2 linked regions of the Caenorhabditis elegans genome follow. The protein of the gene in region 2 interacts with the protein of the main gene of each other region in a pairwise test. Each region holds a gene or a part of one and is shown on either strand. Other genes may lie near its edges.

Region 1 (4,842 bases), on a different chromosome or scaffold from region 2:
CAGAGCACTATGCGGGTTTCCTTCTTGTGCTATTTGTGCTTTTTCTAGCTCTTTTTTCTTTCCGCAAACAACTTCGTGAGCTTGGAGACCAGCTTCATTGGGAAACGTGAGTTTGCAGTATATACACTCCGGTGTGTAGTTAGGATCATTATGTGCCTGAATCGGACGAAGCAATGGCTGACCACTAGTCAAGCTGCCCATGAAATGTTTTGATCCACTAAGCTCGAATAAACTCTGGCTCCGACTAGCAGCTTGCAACATACGACTGTCTTTTGGCCCAGGCGAAGTTCTTGTTGATCCTGAAAAATATAAAACATTAAGGGACAAACGGGACAATCACAATATTCATCAATATATAATATGCAGATATGGACACGTGCAGACACGCACTGGCATGCAAATCGAGACGGTATAGCGGAAACGTTGGGGCGAGTAATAGAAGGAGACAATATCTTGTCTTGGGATAGAAGGACAAGGGTAATGGAGCGATGCTTTCAAGAAACTCAACCACACCACAACTCACCACCACTATTACTGTCGTGATCGACCGAGGATTGCGCACCTATTTGCCGATGGTATGGCCGCTTTTTGCGAATCACCTGTAAATGGACAGATTCGAAGACGTCAAACAGAAGGACAAATGAGATTTGAAATTATGAATAAAAACATGAAAGGTTTTGTTTTATTTTGGTCTGGTATTGTTTCCGTATCATTTCATCAAACTCCAGGGGGCGAATTATTCAAAAAAAGAAAACCCATCACGCTAGAAGAATTCGGCACTCACCGGGTCTCCTTGAAGAATGACTTCGTTCTCAGAGATGATTCGGCTGATGTGGTCCGACATCGACTCGTTGCCAGACGATGCGGCCTTCGACGAGGAAGGCTGCTCAAGTGGTTTGGAGAGCGAGGGGGCTAAAATCTGATGACTGCTTGTGGCAGATGCAGACGTAGATGTGGATGATGGATTCATGGAAGGGTTAGAATTTTGTTTCATAGGTGGCACAGCAACAGGCGTGCGGACTGCAGCCGGTGCCGTCGTTACCGCCACCGTAGACGGTACCGGCTGCTCTTCTCTCCTTGCAATACCAATTGGAGTTCCCATGGTGATACCACCTCGAGGAGCAGGCGTCGAAGAAATGAGCAACTGACGATGTTGTGCCTCGCGCGCCTGATTTTGCAGCATCCGCTGCTGTTGTTCGTTCAGCATTTGAGCCAACCTCTCTTCTTGTGACTCTGCTGAAGGGGAAAAATATTGGGTAAGCGTGTTTGAACAACCAATGGTTAGAAGGTGGTGCACAGAAAAAGAGAAGAAGATGATTCAGGAGAAAAGCTGAAGTAATGGTTACAAAAATCTCATTCTTTATCACTTTCTAATTATTGTTGGTTTACACACTATCTATTTGCATGCATATTTCAAAAAAAAACAAATGGAAACAAAATGTTCTATGATATTTTTGATGTCATATACGTATATCGGATAATTTTCAAAGAGTTGTGGTGTGGTTGTGTGGTTGAACGTATGTGGACTGGCAAAAAAGGGAAACGATGGAAAACGGGAAGGGAGAAACTGGGAAAACAGAGAAGGGAAACAGACACAGAGTTGTGAAGCGTGTGAACGTGAGAAAATGAAAACAGAGAAAAATACAAAATTTAAACGTACCGTTTGGGGTTCCATCGGCTCTTTGCTGCAGTTGCATAGACTGAATATATTGCAGTGCTTGAGAAACTGTTCTATTTTGAGACTGCCCTTGCTGTTGCTGTTGAGCCTGTTGAGCTAGTTGTGCTTGCTGAGCTTGTTGAGCTTGTTGAGCCTGAGCCTGTTGCTGTTGGAGAAGCAGTTGCTGTTGAAGCTGGGCTTGCATTGTCTGTGTAAGATCATTCAACTGTGGAGTTGAAGACAATGCAGGCGTCGATGCAACCGACGGGCGTTGTTGTGAAGCATTGTTCTGAGCCTGAGCTTGTTGGGCAGCCGCACGTTGCTGATGAAGCTGTTGCTGTTGTTGAAGAAATTGCTGCAGTTGTAACTGTTGTAATTGTTGTTGCTGCTGCGCCTGCTGCTGTGAAAGCTGCTGAGCTTGTTGCTGCTGCAATTGCTGTTGCTGCTGGAGTTGCGCCTGTACCTGGCTCTGTTGGGACGGCTGCATTTGTCTAGACTGGACATGCTGAGCTTGTTGAGCTTGTTGTTGGGCTTGTGAGATCTGAAGAAAAAAAAAATAAAATAACGCCAATTTCAAGTTATCAACATGCTATTTCTGTGTCAACTCACCTGTAGAACCTGTTGTAACTGTTGCTGCTGGAGCTGTTGTTGTTGAAGTTGTTGCTGTTGCAGTTGCTGCTGCTGAAGTTGTTGCTGCTGGAGCTGTTGTTGTTGAAACTGCTGTTGTTGAAGCTGCTGTTGCATGTGCAATATTTGAGCAAATTGCTTAAAATAAAAATCAAAGTTTCGAATTATCAATTTTGTACTAAACACAAACCTGTGGCGTGACTTGCTGTTGAATAGCTGCTAATTGAGCTTGTTGTTCTTGTTGCCGTGCCTGCGCCTGTTGCTGTGCCTGTTGCTGAGCCTGCTGCTCAGCTTGATGACGAGCTTGGGCTTGAGCTTGTTGTTCTGCCTGTTGTCGAGCTTGTTGCGCTTGTTGAGCTTGCTGAGCTTGTTGTGCCTGCTGTTGAGCTAATTGATGTTGCATAATTTGTTGTGGATTCTGAGTATCAGTCTGTTGCGCATTAAGTGCCTGTTGCATCAAAAGCATGTTAACTAAATTTTGTCCTTGTGGTGTTGACAAAGCTTGCAGTATCTGAGCATTCATTTGCAATTGCGGCTGGTTTTGTTGTGAAGCAACTTGTTGCTGTTGCTGCTGCGACTGTTGTTGCTGCTGGACGTGCTGCACTTGCTGTTGTTGCTGCGAAGCCTGCTGCTGCTGAGAAACACTTCCAGGTCCATTAGTCTGGAGCTGTGCTTGTAATAATCGTTGATGATTTAGCTGCTCACGTTGTACCTGCTGAAAGTTGTTCGAGATTCCAATTGCCTGATGGCTCATTCGCCAATTCTAAAACCACTTTTTAAGTTTGATTCATGTAAGTTAAGTTCATCGTAAAACAAAGTGAGATAAGGGGGAAAATGAGAGATGAAGACGTATTACAAAAAATAATGAGAAAGTGATTGGAACCATGTGACGTTCACATGAGACCATAATTAGCATGAAAGTTACTTGTCTACAGCAAACTGGGTACAAGGTTCACTTTTAATGATTCGGGGAAGAGTGGTCACGTTTTTTCTTCATTCCTATCAATTCAAACGTCGTTCTGATTTGATTCATACTGATTTCTCTAATATGTTTCATTACAATGAATGAAGGGGAATAAAAATAACAATTACTAAAACCGTTGCCAAATGTTTTTAAGACTGTATACAATGTCTTGAAATAAATCATTAATCAAAACAGAAGACAATATATTGTCGTTCATTCTTTTTCTATTCATATCAAATCAAGACGCAAATTGCCTCACTTTGACTCCTGCAACAGATTGGAGGCTCTCATGAATGCAGTTCAGTCTTCGAAACGGTTACCCATTACTCGCGCAATCTTTTCACTCACACTATCACAATTTAAAAAAACGGGAAAAGAGTACGTCACCTCAATTCTTCGTCACCTTATCACAGATTTGCAGCTCTTGAAAATGTTCAACACTTCTTTGTAACTTGTGATTGTGATCGATTAGTATTCTATGAGACTAAAAGAGTGTGTGACATACACATTTGCTGCTCTCTGTCCTTTTCTCTCTCTTTCTTTCTTTTTCTCACTCAATGTTCATTGACTTTTCCCGTTATCATTACCGGGAGACCGGCTGTTGGCCAAGTGATCAATGACTCTATGGGTGCTAAACAGGGCGCGAATGATTTGAGAGGGACATTGGAAAAAGAAGATAGAGTGGACTATTGTGAAATAACAAAATGCAAGAGAAGTAGAGAAATGGGAAGAAAAGTTACCAAAAAAAGTGAGTGTGGTTGGTTGATGGCAAAATTTCGTACAATTAAAATATTAAGAGGACAATCAGGGCACCAAATTGTGGTGGATAACTACTGTATTACTTTAGTTTTATCAAAACTGATATTAATGGAAAACAAAATTATTTATTACATATAAATTTAACTAAACACTTGGAGCATCAGGTTTAAAAAAATAGTTTTGATATGCAGAAAATGACTAAATACATTTGAAATTTGAATGTTTTCTAGTTGCTTTCGTTAACAAAAAATCAAAGCCAAAAACTATGTCTATTAAAGCTAGAAAATGGTTATTTTTCAGTCAAAAACTCCTTTTTTAATTCAAGTTGTATACTGTAGTTCATTTATGTAGTCTGTTTTTCTCAATAATTCAAATGACTAAAATAGATGTATCTGGTAGCTGCAAATATTTATTTCACAGTTCTGCTGTTTTTTTTTTAATTTTTCGCCAAGAAAACTTCAAGATTTAAATTTTTCTGCACTCAAATAAGCTAAACCTCACCAATTACGGTACTCTATTAACAAGTTTTCATGATTAATATCTTTATTTTCTCTATCTCTTCGGAAACAAATCATTCAAATCTTGTAAAAAGCGTGTAAAAAGTAAAAGACATTTGTGATAAAGAGAAAAAACACTCATTGGCTCAGAAGAGATGCTTGAGCCTTGACAATTCCGAAAGATCCTTTCTCGTTTGAACCCAGAGAAAACGATAAACAGGAGGAAATGCCCCGGGGTCCCATGACACTAACAGACCAAGTGATATGTGTGCACAGAAAAGCACTCTTTCACTCTTTTTCTCTCTTTTTCTCCCTCACTTTGGATGGATGAGAAATAG
Region 2 (6,482 bases):
TATATCATTTTTCTTTATTGATGATATGATATTCCAATTTCTTTTGAATCTATGTTGTGCTTCACGACTTGATAAAAATTCAAGATTCATTAAAATACGTTTTAAAAATTAAATAATCTGAACTACCCACACAAGAAATGCAAACATGAGGTTCAAATACGCAAAAAAAACATAAAAGGAAAACACTGGGAAACTGGAAGTGGTGATTACAATTGTGCATAGCTACGACGTTTTTTCAAAGTTTTTCAGATTTACAAGATAAAGAGGTGACGGTGAAGAAAAGAAAAGGGAAAATGTGTGGCCCCGTAAACAATTGATTTTTTTGTGGATTTTGGTTTTCAAAAGAGGTTCGGAAAAATAGATTATGACGTCACAGACGGAGAAAATGTTTTGAAGATTGAAGAAAAATGAAAATAATAAAAATAACAACTAGTTTGAATAATACTAAAGAAGGACTAGGTTTGATAACTCTAATTTTTCAATTGGTAACACGAAAGGGATAAATAAAACGAATAAAAAGATTAACAGGAATATCAAAATCATTTTTTCTCATTACGAAGAGCATGTGAAAAGTCAGTTGGCAGCTTTGGAGCATTCGGATCTTGTGGAGTATTTGAGACCGGTGCTTGATTTGCAGCTCCTAGAGATGAATTTGATGATGACGGGGAGCATGCTGGTGGAGCTCCAACGCTAACACGAATCTGGCGATGAATTACACAATTAAAAGCTTACATCTTTCGATTAATTATTTTCGTAAGGTGTTTTTCAGAATAATTATAAAAGCTGCTGATTATAAATGTTTATAAAATATCAACTTACTTGATGAAGAGGTGACATTGCATTTTGAGTTTGCTGGACGGCCAGTGCAATATTTTGAGGAACGGCCAATCCCATTGCTACACCCAACGAATTCGATCCGCTGAAGAAACTTTTTTTGGTTAGACAAGACATTGATTTTAGATTGAAATTTGAAATTAATAAAATTTTCAAGCTTTTGGCCAATTTAAAAAAAAGTATATATTTCTGGAAAGATTTTTTTAAAATTACATTTTATTTTGATACATTATTTTCAGAAAAAAAACAATATGGTTCAACTTACTTGCTTGCAGAACTATCCGGACGATGAATCGAATTACCAGGAACTAATCCACTCACAGCTCCCATTGATAATGCCGAAAAAGCATTTCCACTACTAAGCAATGGAGATCGAGAATTGGTATCAATAAGATGTTGAATGAAGCTATCGTCTGTAAAAAAAAGCAATGGGATGATAGTTCAATGTTCATAAAATCATACTTAAAGTTGTTCCGTCATTACTGTGTGCAAGTTGTCCAAGTACATTAATCAATGAATCATCTTCAAGCATTCGAAATGAAGGAGTTATACGAGGAGTTGTGATGGGTGATGGAATGATTGAATTACATCCTGACATAATTGGTTTCACTGCAACTGGAGCAATTAATTTCACTGATGAATCAACTGGTTTCGATGATAAGATTGGTGGTTGGATTTGTGAATTACAGTAGCTCGTGCTCGGTTGATTATGTTGCAGATGTTTCTCTTCGATCTTTTGGAAAATTTTGCTGAAAAGAAAAAATTGTTTAACGATGATCGGGATACGATGCCAAACCTGAAGCTTGTTGTATCTCCGCGTGCTGTTGTGAATTTTGTTGGGCTTGCCATGTATCCACTACTTTCTCTGCTGATTAGATTAGAAACAGCAGTGTGAGTCGGTGAAATATCGCTTCCTAAAGCTCCTTCATCTGAAACAAAAAAAATAAATTCAACTTTTACTAAACATATATTCTTCCAAAACTACGATACCAGGTCTCATCACGACAAATATTTATGGAATACACAAATGTTTGCGCCTTTAAAGTGTACTGTAATTTCGAACGTTTGTTTCGTAGATTTTCCATAGACCGGGTACCATATTTTTTTAGCTTTTTAATATAAAAAAGTTTCGTGTTTGAAAAATATTAGTAATTTTCGCGAGAATGAGGGTCACGTATACAAAAACAACTAACTTTTATTCATTTCCTGATTGCAATTCAAAAATTCAAATGAATTGCTCGTATGCGGATGCATTCTTTTTCTGCCAACTGGACTTTCTCGCATCGATGGTGTCGTTCGAAGTGAGCTCAATGCATTCACTATATGTTGAGCTGAATTAATATGATTTTATTCATTAAAATTATCGTGCTTACCATGAATCACATGCTCCCGATTTCTTTCATCAACAACAACGACTCCAACATCGCCATGATTTCCAGTATTCACTGTCATTCGACAAACGGGTTTTGCTGTTGAACGGAATGCACCCGGACTCCTCGCAGAATCTTGACTTTGAAAATCGGGAAGCGGTCTCACTTGCCGACTCGTTCCGGGAGCTCCTTGATTTTGTTGTGTACGAGAGAATTGGCCTGGTGCTGCCCATATGGAGCTTCCGAGTACCAATTTTTCCGTTCCACTTTCCACTATCCGCCGAACTTCGTCGTTAGTGCTGAAATAACTGTGTAAATATTTATATTAATTATTTTTTCAAGTTCTACCTGGAATTAGGAGAATCATGCGATGATATATCCCGACTTCGTTTCTCTGAAGGTCCATCGTTGGAATCCTCCGACATATCCATTTGTTGAGAATCAGATGTTCCCGCGATGGGATAAGGAAAACAATTTTGAATCGGAGGAGGTGGTAGACATAGAACAGATCTTTTTGCATTGAAAAAGTTGTTGTCGACTGCGGTTTTGTTAACCATATACGTGTTTCCCGCAGAAAGAGACTGTTGGGCAAGAGTAGCACGACCACCTGAAAATTTATTTTAAAGTTTGGAATTCTTATTGGAAATTTGCAATTTCGAGCCAATAATATGCAAAAAGGTGTGCTCAAGGAGTACTGTAATTTCAAACTCTTGTTTCTGGGGAATTTCGATTGAAATTGAATATAAATCTATGAAAAATAGAGGGAGAGGGAATTTCTAAGCAACGAGAGTTTGAAATTTTGGCACAAAAATCGCGTTTGAACAGTTTCACAAAATTTTAAAGCCCTTGACAATTTAACATATTTATAAATTAATCAAAACGATTTATCTGCGTCGCAAAATGGATATATTTTTATTTTGAATAAAATTGGATTTTTTCGCTGACAGAATGTCATGGTGAATTCTCAATAGCTTTCAATTTATTCATTGCTTATAGAGAGTTTTAGAATAATTTAATCTTACCAAAATAAGTATGGCAAGCTTTCTGTGGATCATAAGTGATAATGATTGTTTCCGCATTTCGTTCGGAATTCGTTTCCCAGACACGAGTATGAGTAGAACTTGTGCCAAGAACTGCATGAGGAGCTACAATTGTCTGTTCACCGGGCTCTTGCTTTACCATCACTGTATCAGAAAGTTCATCATTTCTCGGATAGGTCAATGTAATTTTAGTGTCAACGTCTTTCAGATAGTTTGCCATAAAAACGTCAAGACCGCGAACACTAATCGCCATATGAAAAGGATTTATGCACAGAGGGTGGACACATGCCTCGGATCGTTCGAGACGCTCGCCGTCGGTGCTCTCGAGAGGAATTCCCTGAAAAATATTAAATTTATTTGAAGTATTAGGCAATAGGATTTTTAAAAACTCACTTTAAATAAAATAATAGTAACCAGATCAAGCCTCCAAACTTTGTCAGCTTGGCGTAAGCAATCAATTCGCCGCATTTTCCCTTTCTGATCAGCAACTGATATAATACACTTGTTCGGCTCACTTCCATTGATCTAAAAAATTGGTTTCGCCTTATATTAAATCAATTATAAATATTGAAATACTTACAGCCGAAATAAACGCTTCTTTATCGTCATTTTGAATATCTTTTTTTATTTTTCCCAAAAGTCTGGAAGCCCATTTCACTTTTAATTCATCTCTATCATTCTGAAATGCAAACAATTTTCTTTATGATTTTTGTTCATATTTATTCGTATTTTACTTGTAATTCTGCTAATTTCGCGTTTTCTTCACTCGCACACATCTTCTTATCAAATTCTTTGAAGTGCCGTCGTTTTGCTGCCTGAAAACAGGGGAATGAAATTGAAAAATTAAAAATTATATTCAATAATTCCTACCTGCAGATGAAACCAATTATAGGCACTTGCTCTGACAAAAGGTAGAAGTTGTTCGACAAATGGTCCCATATCTTCCTGTGAGTAAGGACTGAAGCATTTGATACCATTGGCTTTCGGACTCACGGCTTCTGGAGAATTGAATTGATTACTCCAATCAGAAGATGGTGGAGGCATTGTCTGCTGTGCCTGTGAGTCTTGAGGTGCTTCTGATGTTGAAGCTGTTGCACCAGTGGTCGTCGAACCGCTGGCGGAGCTGACATCGATCTGAAAAGTATTTTGAGTTTATTTCTTTGTTTGATATACTTATACGAGTTTTTTTTTTGAAATTTCAAATTAATAATCAAGTTTTCTTTTTTACCTGAGATTCCATTCGTATAATTTAAAATCAAAAGTATCTACAAAAAGAGTTTATATTTTCATATATAATACTGCATATAGGAAGAGATAGCCTTTTGATGATAGTTGGTTCATAGCAACAGCAAAAATACTCCACAAATTTAAAGAGGCGCAGATAAGGAAACAAGCGAAAAGATTTTGAATGAATAGAATCACACCGCCCGTCGAGCGAATACTCGTCAAATTAATCGATATGAAGACCGGCATGTGTGTGCGAGGTAATTATTTGCAGCGAACCTGCTGCAAAATGTTTTACAACAAATAAATTACCTTGAGATGCGGCTCCATTTTATTCAAAAAATCTCCCAGAGCTGGAAAAAAATCGCAATGCTGCTGCGATCGGTGTCCTGGCTTGTGCTCAGATAATCTGCATTCTGAAACACTTAAAAATCGATATCACAAATTGACAAGCGTTAAAGAAGAAAAAAGCGGCACCGAGCGCAAAATATCATGAGAAAATAAATGATTGAAGAAGTAAAATATTTTTCGAGATTAGTTTTCTGTCGAAATAATAATAAACACTGGCAACAATTTGAATTAAATGAATTCTCGTTTAATCAATTTTATTGAGCTTATAGAAACACTTCTTCTGATTCAAATATATTTTTGGAAACTTTATAAATTTTTCTGCACATTCATCTGCTCATATTTTGCTCTTTCATAGCCAATATTAAAAATACAGGTGGTCTGGGATGCGCTGCGAATCAAACTACGGTAAATTAACTATAGAGCAAAAATGCGCAGAGGGTCGTACAAATACTAGTCCAGCGGCCATATTTCAAACGGAATTTTCCGCGCGAAATCTTGATTAACTGACAGATGACAATTAATTCTTAAAAATTAAAATGAAGATTATCGAATTTTTGAAATTTATTTATTAATTATCAACAAATAAAAAATTTAACGAAAAATCTCAAGCGATCTGTTCAGAAAAAGAGAAAACTCATAAACAAAAAAACAAAGAAGAAAGTATCGATTAAATAAAACGGCAGGTCTCGCAACGATATTGTTAACTATTGCAAAATGGTGCGCGTCTTTAAAAAAGAGTACTGTAGTCTCAAACCTCCGTTGTTGCGGAATATTTATCGGTTTTTCATAGTTTTTCTCAAGGCTTGTGCTTAAAGAAATGTTGTTTCATTGTTATAAAATTTTTAGCAAATCGTGAGAAAAACTATTAAAAATCGATAAAAATCGCACATCAGTTTAACGTTCGAAATAGCTGAAAGTTTCTTGCGAACATGTGAAAAAACAGAAATTTCGTTTTGTAAAAAAACATTTTGCAACATACAGAAAAAGATAACCTCGAAATTTATTTTATTCATTTGTTTGCTCCCTCGTTCCATAAAAAACAAAAATCATGTGACATCAGTTCTATAGCATGCTAAATACAATGCTCAAGTCGTCAGTTCAACAGTTCAAATCAAACAAGTATTAGAGTTTAATAATAACACGTGGTGTCAGGATCCCCCGTTACGCTTTGATCTACAGAAAATGCGGGATTTTTCCTAAAAAATGTGACGTCAGCACGTTCTTAACTATGAGAAATTAGTTGAAAAGGCTGCGCCTAAATTCCTGCCGTTCTCGTAGATCTTCACATGGGACATTCTGACACCATGTCTAATAACATAAAAATAACTAGAATCAAAAAGCAGATTCTTCAAATCTTGACAATGAATTAAACTTGGATGCAAGACTTGCATCTGATTGATGAACTGGATTCTTAACTGTTCTTCTTGGAGCAGGAGAAGGTTCCGGTGTATACTCTTCAACTTGTGCTTCTTCTAGAATTGCCATTCTCTTTGGTTTTGGTGGCCTATTTCTATAGGCTACAGGGTATGCTGGTGAGGTGCCACCAATATTTGAAATTTCACTTTCAGTCCCATCGAATGTCTCATCCTAAACGAAATTCTATAACTACAAGCCATACGTCACAATTTTTTGAATTGGATCTGCTCATTAAAATTTGTGATTT

Evidence for each region. The genes of interacting proteins can lie anywhere in the genome.
Region 1: the proteins of nfi-1 (region 2) and sma-9 interact in a two-hybrid assay, tested with the Caenorhabditis elegans proteins (one large-scale study listed by BioGRID).

What each region holds. Positions count from the first base shown.
Region 1 is NC_003284.9:10,771,287-10,776,128, reverse strand, and holds the start of sma-9 (Transcription factor sma-9), read right to left. Parts: upstream 3,039-4,842; coding exon 2,475-3,038; intron 2,423-2,474; coding exon 2,267-2,422; intron 2,199-2,266; coding exon 1,661-2,198; intron 1,237-1,660; coding exon 785-1,236; intron 600-784; coding exon 524-599; intron 300-523; coding exon 1-299. UniProt on the Caenorhabditis elegans protein: Transcription factor, probably acting as a transcriptional activator and repressor, involved in the TGF-beta-like dbl-1 signaling pathway.
Region 2 is NC_003280.10:7,536,596-7,543,077, reverse strand, and holds nfi-1 (Nuclear factor I family protein), read right to left. Parts: upstream 4,799-6,482; coding exon 4,781-4,798; intron 4,379-4,780; coding exon 4,115-4,378; intron 4,060-4,114; coding exon 3,979-4,059; intron 3,924-3,978; coding exon 3,825-3,923; intron 3,770-3,824; coding exon 3,638-3,769; intron 3,582-3,637; coding exon 3,227-3,581; intron 3,062-3,226; exon of another isoform or gene 3,041-3,061; intron 2,812-3,040; coding exon 2,553-2,811; intron 2,504-2,552; coding exon 2,208-2,503; intron 2,166-2,207; coding exon 2,028-2,165; intron 1,764-2,027; coding exon 1,631-1,763; intron 1,584-1,630; coding exon 1,297-1,583; intron 1,248-1,296; coding exon 1,100-1,247; intron 920-1,099; coding exon 820-919; intron 702-819; coding exon 540-701; downstream 1-539. Other genes in the region: ZK1290.13 (MARVEL domain-containing protein), read right to left, coding at 6,152-6,406. UniProt on the Caenorhabditis elegans protein: Probable transcription factor which recognizes and binds the palindromic sequence 5'-TTGGCANNNTGCCAA-3' present in promoters. Plays a role in locomotion, pharyngeal pumping, egg-laying, and life span.